Linked DNA regions of Cricetulus griseus. The protein of the gene in region 2 interacts with the protein of the main gene of each other region in a pairwise test. Links are inferred from orthologs where the notes say so. Each region holds a gene or a part of one and is shown on either strand. Other genes may lie near its edges.

Region 1 (2,199 bases), on a different chromosome or scaffold from region 2:
AACACCTAACTTCCTCTTTTAGATTTTCTTATTAACTATGATCTTAAAAATTTGATAACTGGGGCTGGAGAGATGGCTCAGAGGTTAAGAGCACTGACTGCTCTTCCAGAGGTTCTGAGTTCAATTCCCAGCAACCACATGGTGGCTCACAACCATCCATTATGAGGTCTGGTGCCCTCTTCTGGTGTGCAGATATACATGGAAGCAGAATGTTGTATACATAATAAATAAATAAAATCCTTAAAAAATTTTTGATAACCAAGGTACTTGAAAGTAACATGTGAAGGTATGAATTAATTACTGTACGCACTTGTGAAAATATGCTCTGAATCATAGCGGGAATGTAAACTGGGATCCTGTTTTAAAAAAACTGGCGGTTGTAGTTGCTTTCTGTGGCTGTGGTAAAGCATGATGGAAAGTAGCTGGGACGGGGGTTGTTTAGCTGACACTTCTGTGTCACAGTCGATCATGGAGAGAAATCAGGGCAGGAACTCAACTCCAGCAGAGACCATGCTGCTTACTGACTTGATCCACACGGCTTGCTCAGCCTGCTTTCTTATAGAACCCAGGACCACCATCCCACTGATGCCACTACCCACAGTGTGTGAGGGAGGCCCTTCCCCATTGATCACTAATTGAGAAAATGCCTTACAGCTGGATCTTGGGGAGGCATTTCCTCAACTTCTTCCTCTCTGATGACTCTAGCTTATGTCAAGTTGACACATAAAACCAGCCAGTACAACTGAACCTTTTCATCCTGACGTACAACCGCATCACCATTAAGCTCCATTATTCATCCCCAGATCTCACATTAAAACATAAATAACCTTATAAGTCCCACAGTCTTTTCAAATCCAGACACAATGGGCTGGGCCCTCCCACATCATTCATTAATCAAGAAATTGCCCCACAGACTTTCCTACAGGTAGTCTGATGGAGACACTTCCACAGCTGAGGTTCTTCTTTCCAGGTGAGCTCTTATCAACTTACCTTGGGTCAAGTTGATAAAAACTAACCAGCACATCAGTGCAAATAAAACCACTTAGATACAGTTATCATAGCAAGGACACTGTTGATCTGCTTTAAATGGTAAAAAATAAATGTATATCTCTCATGTACTTACTGGTTGTAAGTTTATCCCATGTCTATTCCAAATGTATGGTGAAAGTATGATAGGGACCACAAATGTCACATGTGTGAAAACAAGTGTTTTCTACATTTGATCCCCATGCTTCAGGACTCAGTCTCTTATATGTCTGGAGTTTGTTTTGAAGGAAAGATTCTAGTTACTCACTATGTTTTTGCACATATCAATAACTTATCTTTCAGCAAATCCCATGGATTCTACCTTCAGAAAATTCCCCTTTACATTCACTTACTAGCTCCACTGTCAATGCCCAGTACATACCCAGACACCATCTTACCAAGAACTGTTGAGTTACTCTACCTTCCTTAATACACTTCACCCTTCAGAACGTGAGCAAAAAGAGAGTCCTCATACATGCTCACCTCCATATGCTCCCTTTTTGTTCTTATCTTTCACTAAACACAATGAAGGTCTTTGTAGTTTTTCCTAGTGATCTTTTAGAATAGAAATAAAATCGTGCCAGTACCTTTCAGCGTCTTCTCAGCTTACCAAGTAGCTCTCTTACCAGGCCCAGGGGTAGTTCAGTGTTAGTGTGCCAAGGTTGGTGATTGTTAGTGCAAGCCTCTGTTGATAAAGGAAAGGCTGTAATACAAGCTCCTTTTCTCATTTATGAGTCAAGCATTTCACAATATCAGCACTGACTGTTTTATTATCATTATTATTATTACTGCAATATAATCAGTATTATTTCCTTAGAATGTTTAATCTAAAAAGCTTTTTGGCTTCTAGTTTATAATCAATAAACATAACATGAAGTGTTTACCTGTTGTTGTCAGTACTATGCAGATATGCCAGCGGAAGAAAGAGAAAAGAAGTTGGCTTCCTGCTCACGACACCGATTTCGCTATATTCCACCCAGCACACCAGAGAATTTCTGGGAAGTTGGTTTTCCTTCTACTCAGACATGTCTGGAAAGGGGTAGGAATAAATTTCAGCATTTTATATATGTATTTTTAAATATAGTATAGAGTAAGTCTAAATATTAGTCCTCTTTCTATAACTCTTCATCTTATGCTGTGTGTTAGATGCTGCTTCTGAAGAATACAAGGGAA
Region 2 (3,500 bases):
CAGCCTGATGGCCTGTGGCTGGGTTTCTGGGCCCCTCCTGCTGGGTCTTGGGTCTTCTAGGATAGCATATCCAATGATGTTACTACCTCTTCCATAACCAGTCTCTTCCCTTATGGCCACCTGTGAACTGGGAGATGGGCAAGGGGATTGTCTAAACACTTTTAGGATGAGGAAACATCCTTTTGGTTCATTCTGTCCCTTAGTCGCTGTAACACAGTGCCACAAGCTCGGTAGCTTAGGTGACAGAAGTTTCTTTGAGTCCCAGTTCTGGAAAAGTCTATGCCCCATGCTTTTCCTCTAGATTCCCTCTCACCAGCCACCACAGACCTGTGCCTTTCTCACTTTCCCCATCAGGTTCCTGCTGAGATTGCTTTTCTTGTCTTCTGTTGTGTCCTTTGGTGCCCTGCCCCTTGGCTATCTTTGCTCGCCCCATCTGCCTCCTTTAATAATAGAACTTATGCTGCCCAGGCTGACCTTAAACTCCCTGTGTAGCCAAAGGTGACCTTGAACTTCTAACCTGTCCACCTAGCTCCTAAGTGCTGGGATTCTAGGTTTGCACTACCATCCCTAGTTTGGAAATTGATCCTAGGGCCTGGTGCAGAAAGGCGAGCACTCTGCCAGCTGAGCTAAAACTTTTTTATGAACAGGTACTTATCATTTCAGGGCCCATCCTTGTAGACTCCTTATCTCCAAGGACAGTCTTACCAGGAACCAGGGCTTCTTTACAGCGAACATTGGGACTTTATCATGCAGCCTTTAGCAGAGCAATGACTTGTGCATTAGCCTTGACTATGGCAGTCACTCATTCATGCCACAAATAACCCTCTGAAGTGAGAGCTCCCATTAACCAATTCAATTCTTTTTTCTTTTACTCTCATTTATTTGTATGCACGCAGGCATGCTACTGCAGGCATGCTCATCTCAGGCACTGCCTGGACTCAGGTGCCTGGCAACTCCCAATCTAGCAGGTGTCTGTGTGAGCATAGCAGTTTCCCATGCATCTGCATGTCTGTGCACCCTGCTCCTGAGACATTAGTCATACAGACCTGGTGCTGTGTTTCACTCCCCTGAGCCTAGGTCCTTTACATTCTGTTGTTTGTTTGTGTCATTTTGTTTGGGTAGGGTTTGGTGATTGGCATGTGTGTTTGAAGGTTAGAGGACAACTTACAGGAGTTGGTTCTCTCCTTCTACTGTTGTGGGTTCTGGGGATAGAACTCAGTCAGATTTTGTGACACATGACTTTGTTATTTTGAGACTTTGCTTCATTCATCATTCACTTTCCTCCCAGCAGCCCTGACCTCCTAACCCTGCAGGGAGTCACAGCCCAGTAGAGATGCTTTAATACCTCCTGAGCTCTGCCAATACCCTGTGGTACCTGTTGTGTGGCTTGCCTGTGGGACAACTGTGCAGGCGCTCACACACATCCCTTACAGCCTCACCTCAGGTTCTCATCAAAATGTCCTAGTGAGAGCTCTTCTGTGCCTCCATGTTGCACAGGTGGGGACTCCTGAGGCCCACAGCTGAGGATGTCACCAGCTCCTATGCAGAGCTTGGCTGTATGCTAGCCACCTGTGGTCTCCAGAGCCTTGAGACTGCCCCAGGACTAGGGGTGGGCAGTCATCTGCTGTGAGGTTCCAACTGTTTGTGTCCAGGGCTGAAAAGAGGTCACTGTGTGTCTGGAGGGGTCCTTATATTCTTGGGCATCTGTGGGTGACTAGCTTGGTTACTAAGGTCATACATAGTAGGGCCATAGGTGCATGGGGATGGCAGACAGGTTTGCACCCTGGGGTCATGCATGTGGGAGGACTGTCTTCATGTGCGCACATGATAAGGACACAGGTGTGATTGCTTAGGCATGAGGGGGTGGGAAGTCTTACAACAGAAAGGCAGCAGCATGTCTTTATAGGGAGCATGGTGCACAGGCCAGGCCTGGCCCAGCTCCTGGGAGTGCCTTGTTCTCCCTGCATCCTGGCTGGCCCCTGTGTCTCTCTGACTTAGGGCTCTCCCCTTGTGTCCCTGCAGGCTACATCCAGAAGATTAAGTCAGGAGAAGAAGACTTTGAATCTCTGGCCTCACAGTTCAGCGATTGCAGCTCTGCCAAAGCCAGGGGAGACCTGGGTGCCTTCAGCAGAGGTAGGCAAGAGTGGGTACCGCTACACTCAGCCCCTTCCCTATAGTGTTGGGGGTGGTTGGGCCCACGAAGGGGGAGAAACCCTACTCTGTGCCTTCCTAATCCACCAGGTGGCAGCACAGCCCTCAGGCTTCCTGGCCTGTGTTTTTTGTGCTGCTAAAGGGATGTAAAACCTCCCTGGTATCTTCCCTTCAGGATCATTGTCCCCCTCACCGGCCCATCAAGGTGACTCTGTTCTGTCATTGGCATCTAGCTATAGGACAAGACCCCTGAGAATCATGTTCTTCCCTTTGGCAGGTGGGGAAAATGGGCAGGCAAGGCAAGGTCAGGTCCAGTTGGTGACCCAGACAGAGCTCAGAATGTCTTCCAAGGGCAGAGGAAATCAGGATCCCTTCCTCCTCCCTTCTCTCCTTCATCTCCTTGTTGTGGGCTGGGAGTTCTAAGTGTTGGCACCTGCCTGGGAGAGGGAGCCTAGCGAGGCCCTCTGCTGGCAGCCCAAGCTACCTGCAGGACAGATGGTGTTCAGCTGGGAACCAAGAGAGTTCATCATGCAGTGTGTCTAAATGCACAGCACAGCACTGCCTGCCATTCCTCATGCTGTCCTTGGGCTTCCCAGAGCCTCCTAATGGGCCTGTGGCCCTCAGCTGGGCTACAGCTCAGCAGTGCAGGGTGACAGGGCCATAAACCCTGTGATGAATATGCTTGAGACTAGGTGCAGGCAGGAGCCCCATCTCTGTGCAACTCGCGCCTGACCCCCACCACCTCTGCTGTTTCACACAGGTCAGATGCAGAAACCGTTTGAGGATGCATCGTTTGCTCTACGGACAGGGGAGATGAGTGGGCCAGTGTTCACAGATTCGGGCATCCATATCATCCTGCGCACAGAATGAGGACAGGCAACTGGCCGGCCTACTCAGGCTGCCAAGCAGTCCATGGACGCCCCTTCCTGCTACTGTCACACAGTATTTATTATTCCTAAAATGGCTGGGAGGGGGCTCTGAGATAAGGACTCTGAGCTTCCTTTTCCCTGTTTGCCCCCAGTTGGGGCTGCCCTAGCCAGGCTCCTTCTGAAGGAATTAACTTCAGAAGGGCAGTGGGGGTGTGGAGGCCCTCAGGCTTAGTGGGTCAGAGGTGACCTGACCCCTCCCCCTAGGTCCCAGAGGCAGGCAGGAGGGCCTTGTTTCTTGTTAGTTTTATGCTCCATTCCTCTGTTCAGTTGCAAAAAGCAGACACTCCACACCTGGCGATGCAGCAACTCAGCCTCAGGGTGTGGTGCAGCGCCCCATGCGCCTTCCATTAAATCTGGAACCACTGGCTGGTGGTACTGTATCTCATTACCTTCCTGATGGGGTGTGGGGTTCCTGTCTCA
Region 3 (3,500 bases), on a different chromosome or scaffold from region 2:
TACTTTCCTTAATAGAGCCTGTTTAACTTAATTCATACAAAATAGTATCATTTCAACACATAGCTATTAAAAAAGGATCAACAAAAACTCTGTCTTGTGATAAATCTTCAAAATCCAGAGTGTATTTTGCACCATTGCAAGTGTTCAGTGTAGCCAGTGGCCAGCATTCTTGACAGTAAGCTGAGGAGAGGTCAGAAGACAGTCATCTGAAGACACCTCACTGCTGCTTTACCAAGTCCTCCTGGGGTCTCCACCCTTACAGGATAACCATTGTGAGATTAATTGCTGTGCTTTTAAAAATCATATGGCCTCAAAACATTACTTCACTTAGAAAATACTGCACTAGCTGAAGATAGGTAAGTAAGTGACTGAGGTAAGTGAAATCCTAAACACTCTATATTGTAATTACAATGATCCTAAAAGGGACTTTGACTCATCAGACATTTGTAGGTTGAAACTCTCTCAAATTTTGAGAGAGGGGAAACCACAATCAGAATCTATTGTACGGGGAGAGGCAGAGCTCTCTGTCACTCAACTAGGTAATGCTGCTGGGGCTCCCATTTTTTTTCACTTTCTCAAACTCTCTCTCTCTCCCTCCCCTCTCTCTCTCTCTCTCTCTCTCTCTCTCTCTCTCTCTCTCTCTCTCTCTCTCTCTGTGTGTGTGTGTGTGTGTGTGTGTGTGTGTGTGTGTGTGTGTCCACTAAAGAAAAGAAACAGGGAGAAGATGTAGACAGGTGATGGAATGAACTGAGTGGATGAGAGAATAGCACAGGACCCCAGAGGGAATTTTTATGCTACTGAAGTGGCCAAACCACATCATAGGGACCTGTTCAATCAGAGATTTAAGTAGCACAAATTGGCAGGAAGAACTAACGTTGTCAGTGGAAATGTAACAAAACTCAGGAGATTATTTTCAGCAGAATTCTTGAAAGGTGGAAAGATTAGAAGAAATGCGTACATCACTTGGAGTATTTGGCTTGGGTGGCATCAAGGTCAAGGGATAAGAGTGAGACTAGAGAATAATACAAAGAGACCTGCGGCAGCACGCAGAAATAGCATTCCTGAAGCCCTGTAATTACAACAGAACCCAACAGACTATAGGCTCTGGGGCTGTAGCTAATTGGCTACCTAATGTGCACATATGTGGATATACACAAGTCGGGGAATGGAACATGGTTACTATACAAAGAAAGATAAAGTCATTGCTATTATAATTATCTTTATTTTTTACCTTCTCCATTATCAGCAATCTGTTCTCCCCTTCTGTAAGAGAAAGAGAGGTATTATATAGTAACATTTTAGGCACCTATTTGTTTGCCTTATTGCAGTATCAAACTTTGAGCTATCCAGAGATGCTCACATCTATGGGTTGGGTGGAGCCAGAATTATACAGTCAGTAGTTGTAGACTCTTTTCCACCAATGGGAGAACTACCCCAGCAAAGCCTCCCAGTTTGACTGGGTAAACCAGTCACCTGGGGAGTTGTTAAAAGGCATATTCATTCTGATTTATGGATTTGGTGGGGAACCTGGGATTCTGCAATTCTAACAGACTTCTGAGTGTCTCTGGAACTGCTAATCTATGGACCACGTGCTGATTAAGAAGGCCCAGGACATCAAGTATTTGTCTGAACACACTAAGATAAATATCTTAGTTGTTTCCTTTTTTATACACCCTAGTCTCTGCTTTAAGGTCTGTGCTTCCTTTCCCTCTGAGCACACAGTAGCTTGGACTTTTTTTTAATAAATAAGATATTAAGAGATCACAGCGGCCTAAGCTGCAAGATCCTGCCTGGGAGCACGAGTTCTCTTTGAGGCTCACGCTTTTTCTTCCTTTCACCTCTCTGCCTCTAGGTATCAAAGCTTGAAAGAGAGAAGACGCAAGAAGCAAAGAGGATTCGTGAGTTGGAGCAGCGCAAGCACACGGTCCTGGTGACAGAGCTCAAAGCCAAGCTCCATGAGGAGAAGATGAAGGAGCTGCAGGCGGTGAGGGAGAATCTCATCAAGCAGCATGAGCAGGAAATGTCAAGGACAGTGAAGGTACGGGATGGGGAGATCCAGAGACTCAAGTCTGCCCTGTGCGCCCTCCGGGATGGCAGCAGTGACAAAGTAAGGACAGCTCTCACCATTGAGGCCAGGGAGGAGGCCCGGAAACAGTTCGATGCAGAGCGTCTGAAGCTCTTGCAGGAAATTACAGACCTGAAAACTGCCAAGAAGCAGGTGGATGAGGCTCTGAGCAATATGATCCAAGCGGACAAAATCAAGGCTGGTGACCTTAGGAGTGAGCATCAATCCCACCAGGAAGCCATCTCGAAGATCAAGTGGGAGTCAGAACGGGACATTCGGAGGCTGGTCAGTAATAATAATGAGAGCCCGGCAGAAACCTTTCTCTGCCAGAGCTCTGTGTGATTTGCTTTGCTGAGTGTTCAACTGTCAGTTACTATAAACATACACCCTGGCTTTGCCGCTACACTATTCAAAACACAAGGTAGACTGATAGGTACTTTGGTAGAAATTGGAATTATAAAATGTAAGAGATTTTACAGTCCTCATTTTCACAGGTATTCACTCAGCGACATGTGTTCTTGGGTAGTCCATGAAAAGATTGTAAATTACAAACAATTCCAACCTTAGCTTGTTTTTGTGGGTTTCCCAGTTGTAAAGTGCCCCTGGGTATTTTACAGGACAAAGGGATGTTTCTACAATTTGTCTGAAAATGGTCACTATTGAAAACATGCTGAGTGATTCATCAGTGCAAACGTGGAGCTATAAAATCCCTGGTCATTTTGAAACCGAGTTCCTTTCCCACAAATAATCAAGGAATATTTGTTATGAGCCATTCTATTTTTTAATTGGGTGTCATTCACAAAGAGTTTCCTTTCTGTTTGCAATATACTTTACTTCAACCCACACAGAATTGGTTTGTTTGTTTTGTTTTGTTTTGCTTGCAAAGCCAAAAACCATATACCGATGCCTCGTAATGCTAAAAATAAATTAGTCAATGCATTAATAAATTAGTCTAATGCATTAATCTAGTGCTGTCCTATAATGTCCTAGGTTAACCTCATCCTGTGATCTTAGAAGGGAAATTGATATTCATCTATGTACAAAAGTTGAGGATTAGCTTAAACCATTTAGAATGGATTTAATACTATGTTTCTCTAAGCCAGTGATTCTCAACCATCCCAATGCTTAGACCTTTTAAATAGAGTTCCTCATGTTGTGATGACCCTCAACCATAAAATTATTTCATTGATATTACATAACTGTAATTTTGCTGGTGTGATGACTTGTAATGTAAATATCTAATATGCAGGATATCTGATATATATCTGATATTTGACCCCATGAAAGGGCCATTCAACACCCTCCTCCCAAAGGGGTCACAACCCATTGGTTGGGAACCACTGTTCTTAGTAGAATACTGTTCAGGGAAAACCATCCTTTCCCTCTTGTGTCTGCCAATCCTCAGGAACCAGTTCCTAGGAATTCCACTGTTGTG
Region 4 (4,142 bases), on a different chromosome or scaffold from region 2:
ACGACCTTTTGTATGGACAGCTCTCCTTCAGCCTAACCCTCTACACCCACCCAGCCGGGGCCAAATTTATACTTCTATAAATGTTGTAAATATGTGAAATTTTATCCCGTGCCCTCCCTCCCCTCTGCTTACCCCACTTGAGGCCCTACCCGGTCCCTCCGCCCTCCTCTTTGGCTGTTGTAATTATCTGGGGTTTGTACTGTACATAACCGGGGTGGGGGCTGGGAGGCGACCCCTCTGTACAGAGCTTCCCGGCTCCCGGCCCGCCCCTCTCTCCCGCCTCCAGCCACCTTAAGAGTAGGGAGCCGCTCTTCTTACTCGTTTTGTTTCCTTTGTTTACTCGTTCTCACCGCCCTCCTCCCAGCCCCGTCGCCCCTCGCCCACTCCCGGCCCCTTTCCTTTTTTTCTGGAGTGTGTGGTGAAACAAAACTCATGTTTAATAAACGGAGATTGTTCTTTTATCGCTGGACTGACTTTTTTTTTAAAGATTTATTATGTAGACAACATTCTGCTTCCATGTATGTCTCACTGCACACCAGAAGAGGGCAGCAGATCTCATAACGGATGGTGTGAGCCACCATGTGGTTGCTGGGAATTGAACTCAGGTCCTCTGGAAGAGCAGTCAGTGCTCAACCTCTGAGCCATCTCTCCAGCCGGGGACTGACTTTCATTTATTTAGTTGTCGAGACAGGGATTCTCTGTGTAGCTTTGGAGCCTCTCCTGGCACTCGCTCTGTAGACCAGGCTGGCCTGGAACTCACAGAGACCCGCCTGCCTCTGCCTCCCGAGTGCTGGGACTAAAGTGGGCGCCTCCTCGCCCGGCACCGGAGTCCTGGAAGCGCTGAGGGAGTGGCCGGCGCTGCTCGGGAGAAGGCTGTCAGCCCGCGGCGGGCGGGCTCACCCAGGCGTGAGTGCGGACAGCGCACAGCGGCCGAGCGCCCACTCGGCTCTCGCCCAAGCCGCCGTCTGCGCGAAGCTCTCCGGAGGGGACGCCTCTGCGGGACGCGGCCGAGACCCGCGGTCCTGGGCGAGCGCGCGCCGCAGACTTCCGGTCCGGCCGCCCCGCGTGCACACCGCGGACGGCGCACCCACCTCGCCCTTCCCGCCGCCGCCGCCGCCGCTCCCCGACGGTCCCAGCCCTGCCCCCGGCGGCACAGCCAATAAGAAGGGGGCTTGTAGGCTGCCGTCCTTCCATTGGCTGCAGCCCGGCTCCGCCCCGCCCCCCCCCGCCCGCGCGCCTGGCTGCAGCGGTCCGGCGGAGCGGCGGCGGCTTCCGGCCGAGCAGACGCAGCGGAGGCCGGGCGAGCGGCGAGCGGCGAGGTGAGGCGGGCGTGCGGTGGGGGCGTGCCGGCGGGAGGGCGCGGCGGACGGCCTGTGTGAGCGCGGCGAGGCGGGCGGCGACCGGCCGGCCCGCAGTCGCGCCCGGCTGCCGCGGGGCCTGGAGGTGAACACCCGGCGCCGCTTCTCTCGCTGGGGCGCGGGACGGAGGCGCGGCGGCCGCTGGACACGGGCGCCTGGCCCGAACCTGGGTGACCCGCTCTCTCCTCCTCCTCCCAGCCTTGGGTCCGCGGAGCCCCGCAGGCCCCCGACGCCCTGCGCCTTCTCTCCCCGAGGTGGCCATGGATGCGGCGACGCTGCCTCCCACGCCGCCCTCTCCCCGGGGCAACCCAGCCTCTCGGACCATCCACATCGAGTTCCCTCATCACAGCTCCTCGCTGCTGGAGTCCCTGAACCGCCACAGGCTGGAGGGCAAGTTCTGTGATGTGTCCCTCCTGGTTCAGGGCAGGGAGCTCAGGGCTCACAAGGCGGTGTTGGCCGCTGCCTCGCCTTACTTCCACGACAAGCTGCTTTTGGGGGATGCGCCCCGACTCACTTTGCCGAGTGTCATCGAGGCAGACGCCTTCGAGGGACTCCTTCAGCTCATTTACTCGGGGCGCCTCCGCCTGCCGCTCGATGCTCTCCCTGCCCATCTCCTTGTCGCCAGTGGCCTGCAGATGTGGCAGGTGGTGGACCAGTGCTCGGAGATTCTTCGAGAACTAGAGACATCGGGTGGTGGTGGAGTCTCGGCTGGCGGAGGAGCCTCCTACCACACAGTTCTTTCCACAACCTCTCCGGGAGGCTGGTGCATCCGGTCCTCCCCTTTCCAGAGCACAGCGCGGTCCTCTGCTCCCACAGAGAGCTCGGCTTCTACTGAGAGCCCCGTGGGAGGGGAGGGGAGCAAAGTGGAAGAAGGAGTGTTAGAGATTCAGGTGAAGGAGGAGGAGGACGAGCAGGGGTCAGCAGCCCCGCTCTTCCAGACTCCTCAGCCTCAGAGAGTATCCGGAGGGTTTCCCCACGCCTGTGCACCCCACCCACTGCCCACATCTGCTCTTCCCAGCAAGCCTCCGGAGGAGGAGAATTCAGCCCTTGAGCCTCCTGCCCCTCCTGGCCGAGCTTCCCAGGTCTTGTATGTCAATCAGGAAGCCCTTGAGTCTAAGGAGGAGACATCAGGAAGTAGGACTCGGTCTGGAGGAACAAAGGAGAAGACCAAAGCCGTTTCTGAAGGGGACTCTGAGGGAAATGGGGAACTAAGATACTTGCTGTCCTCAGGAGGAGGGGAAACCTCTGGAGCAGGGGATCCACCCTGGAAGCCAGTGGATCTTCACGGGAACGAAATCCTGTCAGGGGGCGGGGGGCCTGGAGGCTCGGGGCAAGCTGTGCATGGGCCTGTGAAGCTGGGAGGGACGCCCCCCGCAGATGGGAAATGCTTTGGGTGCTTGTGTGGAAAACGGTTTGCAGTAAAGCCGAAGCGGGACCGCCACATCATGTTGACCTTCAGCCTTCGCCCTTTTGGATGTGGCGTCTGTAATAAACGCTTCAAGTTGAAGCACCATCTGACAGAGCACATGAAGACCCACGCTAGAGCTCTGCATGCCTGTCCCAACTGTGGCCGTCGGTTTCGCGTCCATGCCTTTTACCTGCGCCACCGCGACCTGTGCAAGGGCCAGGGCTGGGCCACTGCCCACTGGACTTACAAATGACTGCTAATGCTGTATACTGACTTCTAGGATAAGACATAGCCGCTGCTGCTGCTGCTGGATTCTTACCCTTCACCACCTCAGTCCTGGATCGTGTAGCCATCCCAAGAGATGAGATACGTTATGAGCCCCTTACTGTTGGCTATGGGCCTCACCCTCGTGTGCTCGGAAGTTCAGGGTTCTCAGTTCAGCTGTTTGTTAAGCAGACTCTAGGAAAGTCATACTTTTGATCACTTAAGCTATGTGGCCCTCTTTGTTTTGATAGCCAGTGAGGAAACCATTGACTTCAGATGAAGTTAGTGAGAGAAGAGTTGGAACAAAATGACCTAGTAACTTTTACTTCACCTTCACCAGGAGGTAAGGGAGCTGGTCTCCAACTAGAAACGTGTTTGATTCAGAGCTCAACCAATTGCCAGACTGAACTCCATGAGTGCCCCCACCCACCCACCCACCCACACACACACACACACACTCGGCAGTGCGCTGTTTCTTTCTAGAAGCTTTTAGATTGTACTTTGCCTTCTTACCAGTAGACACCTTCCAAAATATTCTTTTAAAAATGTACTTAAGCCAGGTGACGGTGGTGGCGCACGCCTTTAATCCCAGCACTTGGGAGGCAGAGGCAGGCAGATCTCTGTGAGTTCAAGACCAGCCTGGTCTACAAGAGCAAATTCCAGGACAGTCTCCAAAGCCACAGAGAAACCCTGTCTTGGGGGGAAAAAAAAAATGTACTTGAGCCTGCAACAAGTGTGGTTACTCACACATTTAATCCCAACACTGGGGAGCAGAGTTAGGCGGATCTCTGTGAGCTCCAGACCAACCTGGGTAGCATAGTTTCAGCATAACAAGTTTCAGGCCAGTCAGGGCTACACAGTGAGACCTGGTCTTTTTAAAGAAAAAAGTACTTGAGCACTTTAACATATCAAGCATTTCATATGTAATTGCAGAACCCTAAGAGGATATTCCCGCAACAGCCTTTGCTCTTTCTTGTCTAGACTACCACTGACAACTTGCTTATGATCACAATGACAGATGTGACCAGTGAACTCAGGAGATGGCAACTGACCTAAAACGCTCTCAGGGTAGCGCTGTTGCTCTCTGAACAAATTGCCCTGATCTGAAGGAC
Region 5 (4,262 bases), on a different chromosome or scaffold from region 2:
AGTAAGAGCCTGACTCCAAAACACGGGAACAATTCCCTTCCAACAGAATTCAGAAGGCCGTAGAGTGGTCTTGAAACCAAGAGGTTCCATAACTGTCCAGCTACAGAAGGTGGGTCACATGACATACACAGTTCTGTCTTTCTCTGTGGTCACCGGCCTACCCAGACGACCAGTCCCTTGTACCGTCTATGGAATGAACCTGTCAGTCATGTGGAATGGCAGGTTGGCTCCTTATCTGTTCCCATCCCCACAATTGTAAAGTCTCAGACCTGTCCCTACCTTCACCGTGCTTGTTGGCTTTTTAATCACACTTGCCTTGCAGGCGCGAGAAGGTGGCTTGGGCACGAGAGATAGGAAGAAACTGCTCTCTCCACCATGCATTAGCTTCTCTCCCAGGTGAGAAACGTAACTGGCTGCCCTCTCCCTGGTGTCCAGTCACCAAGGCCACACAAATCCAAAGAGACAGGCACTCTCTTGAGGGACTATCAATCTCCCCTGGTGTACCCTTCTGTTTCTTTGGGCTCACGCAGCTCCCTCCCTGGGCTTTTAACTGGGCCTGGAAGGGAACCTGTCAAATGTCCTTAAATTCTCCAGTTCAATCAACTCGACTGCGCACATGCGAGTGCCATGTGCGAGTACGACCTGCAGAGGGCGCAGGAAGCCTTAAAGAGAGCGTCGTGAAGGTGGGCTCAGTCTCCAGAATCTGGAGATGGAGAAGTAGGGTTCCCTGCAGAGATCCTTTAGACAGAGGACGCTTCGGTGATCTGTGAACATACACCCAGCACTTACAGCTTCAGCCCATGCTCCTCTCTCAAGTTCCTTAGGCCGCACCCCCCCCCCCAAAAAAAAAACTTTCTACCGCAGCCAACCCAACTCCTTTTGCCCAAACCCCAACTCTCCCAAATCCTCCACGTTCCATCCTAAGAATGAGGCTGGCCTGTAGACCACAGCATGGAGAAGGCTCAATTAAGACCAATCAGAGCCGACGGCAGTACCTGCAAAGTTAACTTTCTGGGGTGAGCTCCCCCCTTCTCGCTCCCCCTCCCCCCGCCCCCCGCCGGCCGCGCAATATTTTCCCCAATGTTTTCCTGGCTCTGGTTCAGGTCCTCTTCGTGGACAGCCGGTCCAGGGATCCGCGCCGGGATTTACCGTGCACCAAGAGCAGCGTGTTCGGGAGGGGGGGTAGTAGGCAGTATAGGGTCCCTCAAGGGAGGGGGAGGATCCTGGGGGTCCTGGGGGTGCCATAAGCCCGGCACCCCCTCTCTAACTTCTAGCCACCCCGCCTCATCTTCCTTCTAGAGCGGCCTGGAGGAAGGATATTGGAGGGGAGTGAGCGGGAAGAGCGGCGGCGCGCCGGTGGCAGGAGCGAGAAAAAGTTTTTGCAAAAGGAGAAAAAAAAAAAAAAAAAAGTTTGCGCTTCTCGCGGGTGGTCCCGGCTCGCGGCCCGGCGGGCTGGGCCGGCGGAGGGCTGGGGGCCAGGTTGGGGGGGGGGTGGCACTGAAGCTGCGCTGCAGTGGCCCTGTCGCCCCCCTCCCCGCAGCACCCCCCCAGCCCAGTTTCCAACCCTGGACCGCGCATCCCGAGCACTGCGCCCCGACTGAGGTGAGAGGGGGGGCAGGAGGGGAGACCACCTGGGAGCGATGGGGGAGGGGGCCGAGGAGATGCTCGGATGCCCAGGACTCTCCCCATCCCACAAGGAGACCTGGGGCACAGCAGAGGCAATAACGGGGTGGAAGAGATTGGGATGAGCTATTAGGAAGTTTGGATGTTTTTCTCGTTTTTGTGCCTTAATCCGTGCCTACTTTTCCTCCCTAGCTCCTTTTTCTTCTGGCAGTCTGTCTGTCCCTGGTCTCTTTGTCTGCGCTCTCCCACCTATTAGACATATCTCCCTTTCTTGAAGTTGGCATGAAGAGGCTGTTGGGACGGCCAGCAGGAGGTCTGCGTGGTAGAGGGAACTCCAGGTGCGTGTCTGGGCGCCGCTGGAAAGCGCTCAGTGGGGTGGGAACAGGAGTGTTTGGAGGTAACACAATCACTGAGGGCCCGGCTGGGATTGGACTCTTGACCCGTGTTGTGACAGATGTCCAGATGAAGCCTTGAGTTTGGGGGCAAGAGGAGTGTTTTTGAACTAGGAAGGAAGCTGGGTGGGTTTCCAAACGTGTAGTGTAGGCCTTAGCGGGGAGGTGGGGAGAATCTGTGGGGAATTCGTGCTTCTCAGTCCCGAGGACTGCGGGCCAGGCCCCAAGGAAGAGCGAGCGCTGGGGAGACCTTGTCTTGACCCCCTGACCTCGGGACCACCGGGGCAGCTGAAGCCAGGCGGCAGGAGACCCCTGCTGGAGCAAAGCGGGACCACCGGCCACTGCCAGCTTGTGTATCCCCGCTGGCCCCCCGCCCAAACGGGAGCTGGGGACCGAGGCCCCTCCTCTGGCTTAGACCACCCTGCCTGCCCTTGCTCCCCGCTCTGAATCCTCTTTCAGGCCCCATGACCCTGAAACAATCAACCCGGGAGGGACAGTTAGCTTTGGGGACAGGACGAAGGAAGGGGACTCCATAGAGACCGAGGGTTCTGGGCGCCTGGAGAAGCGGGACTTGACGGTATAGGTCTCTCCCTCCAGTGCACGGAGAGGGACGGGCAGTTTTCTGGGAGAAAAGTTCTTGAACGCGGGTGATTTTCTTCCCCCTAGGGGGCGGGGTTCGGAAGGACCCCCCACCCCATTATCTCCCTGGGCATCCCCGCCGGACCGACGTCTCCGACTCGCCCTTGACGTCACTAGGGGGTTCCCGGGGGTCTATAGGGGTTAACCCTTAGGAGGCCGGCTGAGATACTCAGAAGTCTAAGGTGTCCTCTCCTAGCGCACTGTGTGGACTCGGGCACTTCTTTCTGTAGGCTCTGGGTTCTTCCTTCCCGCTCCACCACAGGGACCCCACTTTCCAATAGTGCCCCCCACCCCGGGCGCCACCGCCTGCTTTCAGGATGCGTTGAGAGAGGGAGAGAGGAGAGAGAAGGGAAGAATGTTCCACCCGTCACCCCCCCCCCCGCTTTTCTGGGCTCCCCGGGCGGGCGGGGGAAGCTGAGCCGTCTGCAGCCGGAGCCTGCGGCGGCGACTTGGGTGGGCCGAGAAGGCACGGGGGCGGGGAAGGCGGGACCGGGAGAAGGGGGTGGGGCCGGCTCTTGGGAGTTGGGGAGAAGGGGTACGCACAGAACTCTGGAAAATAGACACTGAAGATGATTCGGGTCTCTGGCAGGGTAATTCCGAGTGCTCCCTGTCCCATCCCGCCCCGAAAAACCTCCTCCAGGGAAACTGGAAAAGCTAGCTGGAGACCTCTTTACTAGGATGAAGGGGAGGCGTGCGTGTAGACTGTGGCACGCGTGGGCGAGGAGGGCCGTCGCCCCCCTTTTCACCGTGTCTCCTGGGGTGGTCCGGCAGTGGGACAGGAAGATAATAAGAGTGACATCTATCTCTGAGAGGGCATCTAGTGTCTGGGGGTCGTTTACAGGTCTTCCCTCTTGCCTTGAGTGAGTCACAGCGGAGGAGGCAGGAGACATGCCCCCTCATCCAGCTGCCAGCCAGCTGTGCCCCCCACCCCCAACGTGAGTGCCAGGGTCGAGCTGGGAGGTCTTGGATGCGGGATCCGGGTCTCAGCTGGAAAAGGAGGAGTTAGCATAGGTACAGCCCGGCTGCAGCACTTGGGCTGGGTCGTAGGGTCCGGGTTCCGTTCCCCACTTTGCCCCGCCCTCACCCTAAATCCCAGCATCCCGGGATCACCCACCGCGCAGGCCGGCCCGCTCCCGGTGGTTCTCCACCCCACCCCGCCCCACCCCACCCTCCACTCCCGGAGGACGGAAAAACGTGGAGTGGAGTGCAAGCTGGCTGAGAGAAGGAAAACTGGACCTCGCACCCTCGCCCTGCTGTCTTGATCCTTTCCAATAGAGGACTTGGTTTTCTCATCCTCATTAAGCTCCTCCCCAAAGTTCCTATCCACTCCCCCGTCCACAGACCAAAAGGGTTAGGTAGGTCCAGACTCAAACCGCCGCAGAATGACTTTAGCCTCTATCCTTTTTACTCAACAGACGGGAGACACTCTGCTGCGAAGCCCTTTTCCCTCCCACACAGAGTTCTCTCGGCTAAGAGGACAGATCAGTTGTGTGTTCTCTTCTGGCCCCACCAGCCAATCTGCACTGAAGCGAGGTCTCCCTCTACTGGACACTGGGGAGTTTGCATATGCGTTCTTGGGCTGGGGCTCAGAGCGAGCAAGCAGCCCTG
Region 6 (3,500 bases), on a different chromosome or scaffold from region 2:
TGTGTATGTGGAGTTTTGAGGTGGGTCTCACTATGTAGCTCTGACTAGCCTTGCACTCACAGACCCTCCCTCCTCTACTTCCAGAGTGCTTGGATTTAAGGTGTGTGCTAACTCATTTAGCTGATGGCCTTTTCTTTTGTAATAGTACATAATATAAGTTCTTTTGAAGATTAGACTTTTTATGGATCAGAAAGTACTGACTACTGTAAGTAACATAACTAAGTAACTTCTAAATAATTCATCTTATTCTGCTAGTCCTGGCAGTTGTCAGTCATAGAATGGGGTGATATTCTTCCCCCAGATTCTGGCATACTTTGAGAGACCTTACTAAATTATTTCCATCATATGTAAGCTTATTTAGAATACTTTTCAATAAAAGTGTGTGTGTGTGTGTGTGTGTGTGTGTGTGTGTGTGTGTGTGTGTGTGTATACACCCCAGTTCTCTTATATGTACACATATGTGCGTGTGGTGCTGGGTATGGAATCCAAGGCCTCGGGCATGCTAGGCAGTCACTACCACTTAGCTATATCCTCAGCTTGTAAAATGATTCTGTGTTACTAAGTAATACGTAATATAGTGTGTTTTTTCTTCGGTTTGTGTTGTTAGGTGATGGGACTAGAATGGCTGATTCAACAACAATGTTATCCATAAGTGATCCAATTCACATGGTGCTGATCAAAATAGACATATTTGGTGAGACTACTTTAGTGGCATCCTATTTTCTGGAATGGAGATCAGTTTTGGGCTCAGAAAATGGAGTGACCAATCTGACTGTGGAACTTATGGGTGTAGGTATGATGATTAATGTCACTTTCACCTTTTTATAAATACTGTTTGTTGGCAAATTTATTTTATATCAGTCAAAAGGGCTTTACAGGAGGGAGACTTGTAAAACAGGCTTTCATCAGAATTTCAGTGGTAAGTTGGCTTAGGGAATAGCTGGAAGAATAATGCCACCATAGTTCTTCAAAGTCAGTCTTTCTTATCCTGAGGAATTTTTTTTTTTTTTAAGATTTATTTATTTATTATGTATACAGTGTTCTGCCTGCATGTATGCCTACATGCCAGAAGAGGGCATCAGATCTCATTATAGATAGCTGTGAGCCACCATTGGGTTGCTGGGAATTGAACTCAGGACCTCTGGAAGTGTGCTTTTACTCTGAACCATCTCTCCAGCTCCAAAGAATGTTTTTTGTCTGCAAAATGAATGGAAATTCTGGAGGTTCAACATTTTGTTGTTGTTGTTGTTAAATATAAGGTTATAAAGAAAAGCAGGATTCTTTTAAACATATGAATAGGTGTATGCATAAGCTTCTTTCTGGTATGTCCTAGAGTACAGCACATCACCGTCGTCACCACACTGGTTCTTGGAGGGGGTGGGTTATGGGTTTTTTGTTTGTTTTGTTGGTTATGGCCAGAATCTCACAGTGTATTTTGGGATGTCCTTGAGTTCCCTCTACAGAACAGTTGGCCTGCCTCATGCTAGGATTATTGGCATGTACCACCGTGCCAGCTTCATACCAGTGGTTATTGACGAATGAGTAGATGTTCCTCTAGTTCGTTATTATGGATAGGTAAAATTTGAAAGAGTTGCTAACTTGGTCAGTGTCAGTAGCAATGAATAGTAAAGGACAGAGGTTGTACATTATCTTACCATTATTTCCTTGGATTTTGCATACTGCCTACTATGTAATATGTATTAGCTCATAAAAAGAGGAAAACAAAAACCCACTAATGTTTTATCTATAACTTATAATGTAATTGTATTGGTATTACAACTTATTCATACAAGTTAAACTTGGGGATAGCATGATGGCTCAGTGGGTAAGATGATACACAAGTAGAAGGAACTGAGTTTGTCTCTCCAGCACCCACAAAAAAAGCTGGGCATGGTGGCATGCATCTGTAATCCCAGGTCTTGATGGCGGTAGAGACATGCAGATCCTGGGATCTCACTGCCCAGCCAATCTAGCTAATTGGTGAGCTCCAGGTCAGTGAGAGACTTTTGTCTTAAAAGCTAAGGCTGAGAGCAATAGTGGAAGTGGCCCCACATCAGCCTCTGGTCTCCACACTCTTGTGAATGGGCAAAGCCATTTACATAATGTGCATGCACTCATACAAAGAAAAAGAAAAAAAGCTAAATTTGGTCAGTTGACAGCAAAGCATTCAGAATTTAAGTCAGACTCAAAATATGTCTGTACTTAAATAAAAAGAACTAGTATTCTCTTTACACATGAGATTTGTTTTTTAAAGTGATTTCTGGTTCTTTGTCTTCAAAAATAGACCTGGGCCTGGAGAGATGGCTGAATGGTTGAGAACACTGGCTGCTTTTCTAGAGCACCCATATAGTGGCTGACTGCTGACTGTTCGTTAACTGCAGTCCCTGGGGATCTGGCCTCCAAGGACACTGCATGCTTTAGGTGCATAGACAGATAGACAGACAGACGGATGGATGGATAGATAGATGCAAATAGGTCTAACATGATAATCATAACAATGACCTGGAAATAAGTATATACCGATTTGGTTAAGAAATATTGAATAGTTTTATATACATATATGTTTGTATGTTGTATATATAGATCATATATAGTTGAAAACTTGATAAGAAAGGGTAGATGGAATTACTGCATATGGTAAAAAGTTGGGATACTTTCTGATTTTCATGGAGACAGAATGGGCTCTTAACAATTGCTTTGGTTTTGTACTTAATGTAGCATCTAGTTGGAATTATATACATTAAATTATATATTATATTAAAGATATAAATTTAAGAATTCTAAATCCACAAGGTCAGAAAAGTTCCTTAAAATGTTTTTAGAAAGCTTTAGTAACAAAGAAAAAAATCAATTTGATTTGGTTCATTTTAAAAAGTTTGATTCATTTTTAATATGAATATTAAGTGTAATGTTGAGTATTATAACTCTACTTAAGTCATAAAGTACATCACTCCTAAATTATGTTGGTTAGACTTTGGTTGACTAAATACACATAGTCCTGAAAGTTCTTTGTTTTAAATAAGGTTTAAGTAGAGTTTTAAATATTTGTATTTATAGGAACAGAATCAAAAGTTTCTGTGGGAATTTTAAATATAAAACTTGAGATGTACCCACCACTCAACCAAACACTGTCTCAAGAAGTAGTGAACACACAGGTAAGCCAGTTTTTCTTTTGTACATTGCTTTAGTTGTAGGAAATATTTACCCTAGAAAGTATTGTCTTTTTAGAAAAAACAATAACATTGCTGTTTAGATTTGTACTAAAAGAATTAACCAAAGGGATGGGGAAAGAACTATTAAGCTGGGACTGGTGATACAGTTAGTGGTAGTGCTTGCTAAGCATGTACAAGGCCCTGGCTTTTAGCAAACTCCAGGACTGGAATGTGTGTATGTGGGGGGGTGTCACAAAGTGGAAGGGCATTGGAGTAGCAACATGGGGTGATATTTTAAAAGGCTTTATTGCATTTGCATGTGTTTTGTGTGCATTGGGGGTGGGTGAT
Region 7 (3,500 bases), on a different chromosome or scaffold from region 2:
TAGGCTGGTTATCCATTGCTGTATGTCTAATACTCACTTATGAATGAGTACGTATCATGTTTGTCTTTCTGTGTCTGGGTTACCTCCCTCAGGATGGTTTCTTCTCCATTTTTCTGCAAATTTCAAAATTTCATTGTTTTTGTTGTTGTTGTTGTTGTTGTTACACTGAATAGTACTCATTATGCATGTATACCACATTTTCCTTATCCATTCTTTGATTGATGAGCATCTAGGTTGCTTTCAGGTTCTGGCTGTTACAAATAATGCTGCTATGAACATAGTTGAACAGATGTCTTTGTTATATGAATATTCATCCTTTGAGTATATGGATAAGGGTGGAATTGCTGGATCTTGACGTAGATTGATTCTTGTTTTCCTGAGAAACCGTCATGGGCTTGAAGTTTATATCCAATCACTAACCTATTTGTTTGGTAAAACAATCATATATGCAATTATTGCTTCTTTGAGGATTCCATATTCATTTATGCTTAGACCTTATGTACATGTAGCAAGAGAAAAATTTTATTTTTACAGTTGTTTGCTGATGAGGATTTGGTTTACTTTATTGTTACAATACCATTTTAGAAGTTAAAAATTGTGTTTGTATTTTACAGATGTATAAAGAACATTCCCAATTAAATCAGAGAGAGAGAAGGAAAATCTATCTTACCCTGTGGACATGTGATCAGTCTTACTGTATTAATTCACCATTAACCCTCTGTCTAGCCAAGTACTTGGAGAAGTAACTATTCAATAATTGTGAATGGTATGTTTGCATACATTTGCATGACTGTGTTAACACCCATCTTCTTGCACTTCCCCCCCCCCAGATTCGCAGGAAGGAAATTATAAGTCAGAAGTGAACAGCAAACCTAGAAAGGAAAGGACAGCTTTCACCAAAGAACAAATCAGAGAACTGGAGGCAGAATTTGCTCATCATAACTATTTGACAAGACTGAGAAGATATGAGATAGCGGTGAATCTAGATCTCACCGAAAGACAGGTAAAGTGGGCATCTTAGTTGTATGACATTTTATATTTCTATTTTTTATATTAGCAATCTTCTTTTACCATTTTTAATTATCTAGATTTATAATTTTCAAATGCCAATTAGAAATCTGTACTATTCGATGATTAAACTTTTGTTCTGCAAAAATTAAAACTTAAAAAAATGATATATGAGTGAAAGGTGTGTTTACTGAGTTTTAATAAGGAATGCTTTGCGATGGTAATATTCCTCTGTTTGTTTTAAAAACATGGTTTGTTTTAAATAATGTGGGTAAATGGTGAAATATTTCCTGTGTTTATATTTAAGATCTCCTCATCTGGTGTAATAAAAGGTTAGTTGTCTCTACAGGTCAGGATAGGTCATTCCATATTGCAATAGAACATTAACTTTTAAAACTAAAGCACAAAATAAAACAAAATAAAATGAAGTATCAATGGCTTATTTTCTTCATGAGTTCTACAAATCCAGCACTCTGAATAGTCACTCATGGTCCGTGGAATCTTAACGTGTGGTGCTGTTGGTAACCACAGGAGGTTATAAAAGAATTGGCAGTTCCCTTACTGGAGATATTTTCACCTAGAAATGACTCATATTCTCTCCATTTATTCTTATGTGTTATGAAATGATCAAGGGTGTAGCATGGGAGCAAGAAGGCTGGGTAATTATTGGCAGCAAGAACACACAGACCACTGATAAATATTTGTTCTCTATTATCAAAATACTTCAAAATTGTGTTTACTCTAGAAATTCAATAGTCTGCTATCTGCTCAAAGAATGCTTTGAAAGTGTTAATGATTCATGTGTCCAATAATGAGAACTAAATAATGTATTTAAATCCATTGCTTTATAGACTCTTTTATTTGGTTGTGTTTGGATGGAAAGTAATTTGTTCTGTTAGCACTCAGGGAGTACGCCCTATATTAATTCACATTTACTTTAGGACAATCCAGCCTTCAGATGGTTAACAGTCTTGCTAGTTAGAAAAAACATTCCTAAAAGGCAAATGCAAACATCTTTATGGACAGTGCAATTATAGCAGGCACTATTAGGGCAAGAGCTTCACTTCCTCTCTCACTGTTCATTCCCCCTCCAGGGGTCCCATAGGAATGAGGGAAATACCAACATGGTGTGGACAAATGACAAATGACTATCATACTTTATGATAGCAAGTGATTTTATCAAGTTCTTAAGTCATATTTTTTTCGTTCTGCTAATTTTTAGATTTCAGTTTCTGTGGGATATTTCTGGTTAGAGAAAATATACAAAGGAACACTTTTTTGAGGTTTCATTTATTGGCAGTTTATATTTTATTAAATATTATGACTAGTTCCTAAGCTCTGCAGTACCACATTTTCTTCCCCTGAATCACACACGGAGTTCCCTCTGTGAATGTGTGGCATTTGGCACTTCAGAAAGCAGGAACTAAAGTCTACATCATCAGATCACTCATCTATTTTAATATGTTTATCTGGGAACAGGGAAGTAAAGAAGGGGAAAAATTACAGTGAACTCCAGGAAAGAGCCCCATGTTTTAGAAATGCGAAGAAAATTGGCAACTGGAATTGAATTGCCATCTATACAATGATTGATGGAGCACTGAGCTCTAGCCAAGAGCAAAGACAAGAGCTATGCCTGCTCATATGGTGATGGTCCATCATCGTTCTCCATATATCCCAATGTTCCCATTCAAACTGAACCATCTGGCCAAATTCAATGTCAAGTAAAGAGTCATTATAAATATTGCTGAAGTAAGCTAGCAATAGTCTTATAAGAAAATCAGAAAAATAAAATAAACAAACAACCATCAAACAGACAAAAATCACACAAAACAAAAAAACTTGGAGAGATACTTGTATTCTCAAATAATTGAAAACTTGGGACTGTGTAATTTCTTCCCCATTTTGAGAATATCTTCTGGCATTTGCAAGTTAACTGGAAGGGTAATATGTTCATTAGAACATGCATACTAAATCAAAGCTAAATCTCTTAAGGTACACTGTCATAAATGCCAATTTTAGGATGCAAAATCCATGAAGGAATATCTGGGATTGACCACTTAGAAGTTTATTTTCTTAGAGTAGCAAAAAATATGTTTGAGTCACAAATAGAAGCAAATATGTTTTCTCTTTCTGATTTACTCACCATAGTGGAAATAAAAACATTTTCCTTTTTTAAGGATTTTATTTATTTATTTATTTATTTATTTATTTATTATGTATACAATATTCTGCTTCCATGGATATCTGCACACCAGAAGAGGCCACCAGATCTCATAATAGATGGTTGTGAGCCACCATGTGGCTGGGAATTGAACTCAGCACCTCTGGAAGAGCAGTCAGTGCTCTTAACCATTTCTCTAGTCCCCAATATAGACAGCTGCATGGTGGGGACTCCTCATTCACAGGCCTGTTGGATAAATCCATTGGTAGCACAGATACTTGTTGAGCTGGGTACTAGAAAGAAAATCCTGTCAAAATAAGCTGAGAGTCCA

The links.
Region 1: the proteins of Pin1 (region 2) and Rbbp8 interact in binary tests that used the Homo sapiens proteins (3 or more experiments, as listed by UniProt). The two-hybrid records come from large-scale screens. The link is inferred for Cricetulus griseus from reciprocal best matches to the Homo sapiens genes PIN1 and RBBP8.
Region 3: the proteins of Pin1 (region 2) and Jakmip2 interact in binary tests that used the Homo sapiens proteins (3 or more experiments, as listed by UniProt). The two-hybrid records come from large-scale screens. The link is inferred for Cricetulus griseus from reciprocal best matches to the Homo sapiens genes PIN1 and JAKMIP2.
Region 4: the proteins of Pin1 (region 2) and Zbtb9 interact in binary tests that used the Homo sapiens proteins (3 or more experiments, as listed by UniProt). The two-hybrid records come from large-scale screens. The link is inferred for Cricetulus griseus from reciprocal best matches to the Homo sapiens genes PIN1 and ZBTB9.
Region 5: the proteins of Pin1 (region 2) and Gli1 interact in binary tests that used the Homo sapiens proteins (3 or more experiments, as listed by UniProt). The link is inferred for Cricetulus griseus from reciprocal best matches to the Homo sapiens genes PIN1 and GLI1.
Region 6: the proteins of Pin1 (region 2) and Cep76 interact in binary tests that used the Homo sapiens proteins (3 or more experiments, as listed by UniProt). The two-hybrid records come from large-scale screens. The link is inferred for Cricetulus griseus from reciprocal best matches to the Homo sapiens genes PIN1 and CEP76.
Region 7: the proteins of Pin1 (region 2) and Meox2 interact in binary tests that used the Homo sapiens proteins (3 or more experiments, as listed by UniProt). The two-hybrid records come from large-scale screens. The link is inferred for Cricetulus griseus from reciprocal best matches to the Homo sapiens genes PIN1 and MEOX2.

What each region holds. Positions count from the first base shown.
Region 1 is NC_048595.1:224,629,486-224,631,684, reverse strand, and holds part of Rbbp8 (DNA endonuclease RBBP8), read left to right. Parts: intron 1-1,923; coding exon 1,924-2,065; intron 2,066-2,199. UniProt on the Homo sapiens protein: Endonuclease that cooperates with the MRE11-RAD50-NBN (MRN) complex in DNA-end resection, the first step of double-strand break (DSB) repair through the homologous recombination (HR) pathway.
Region 2 is NC_048597.1:133,542,011-133,545,510, forward strand, and holds the end of Pin1 (peptidyl-prolyl cis-trans isomerase NIMA-interacting 1), read left to right. Parts: intron 1-2,022; coding exon 2,023-2,133; intron 2,134-2,911; coding exon 2,912-3,021; 3' UTR 3,022-3,447; downstream 3,448-3,500. UniProt on the Homo sapiens protein: Peptidyl-prolyl cis/trans isomerase (PPIase) that binds to and isomerizes specific phosphorylated Ser/Thr-Pro (pSer/Thr-Pro) motifs.
Region 3 is NC_048595.1:194,225,778-194,229,277, forward strand, and holds part of Jakmip2 (janus kinase and microtubule-interacting protein 2), read left to right. Parts: intron 1-1,852; coding exon 1,853-2,350; intron 2,351-3,500.
Region 4 is NW_023276806.1:232,169,859-232,174,000, forward strand, and holds the start of Zbtb9 (zinc finger and BTB domain-containing protein 9), read left to right. Parts: upstream 1-1,342; 5' UTR 1,343-1,618; coding exon 1,619-3,019; 3' UTR 3,020-4,142. UniProt on the Homo sapiens protein: May be involved in transcriptional regulation.
Region 5 is NW_023276806.1:130,389,057-130,393,318, forward strand, and holds the start of Gli1 (zinc finger protein GLI1), read left to right. Parts: upstream 1-1,462; 5' UTR 1,463-1,602; intron 1,603-1,815; 5' UTR 1,816-1,961; intron 1,962-3,220; exon of another isoform or gene 3,221-3,244; intron 3,245-3,495; 5' UTR 3,496-3,589; intron 3,590-4,069; 5' UTR 4,070-4,262. UniProt on the Homo sapiens protein: Acts as a transcriptional activator. Binds to the DNA consensus sequence 5'-GACCACCCA-3'. Regulates the transcription of specific genes during normal development.
Region 6 is NC_048595.1:171,774,427-171,777,926, forward strand, and holds part of Cep76 (centrosomal protein of 76 kDa), read left to right. Parts: intron 1-607; coding exon 608-793; intron 794-3,057; coding exon 3,058-3,155; intron 3,156-3,500. UniProt on the Homo sapiens protein: Centrosomal protein involved in regulation of centriole duplication. Required to limit centriole duplication to once per cell cycle by preventing centriole reduplication.
Region 7 is NC_048598.1:164,545,608-164,549,107, reverse strand, and holds part of Meox2 (homeobox protein MOX-2), read left to right. Parts: intron 1-830; coding exon 831-1,003; intron 1,004-3,500. UniProt on the Homo sapiens protein: Mesodermal transcription factor that plays a key role in somitogenesis and somitogenesis and limb muscle differentiation. Required during limb development for normal appendicular muscle formation and for the normal regulation of myogenic genes.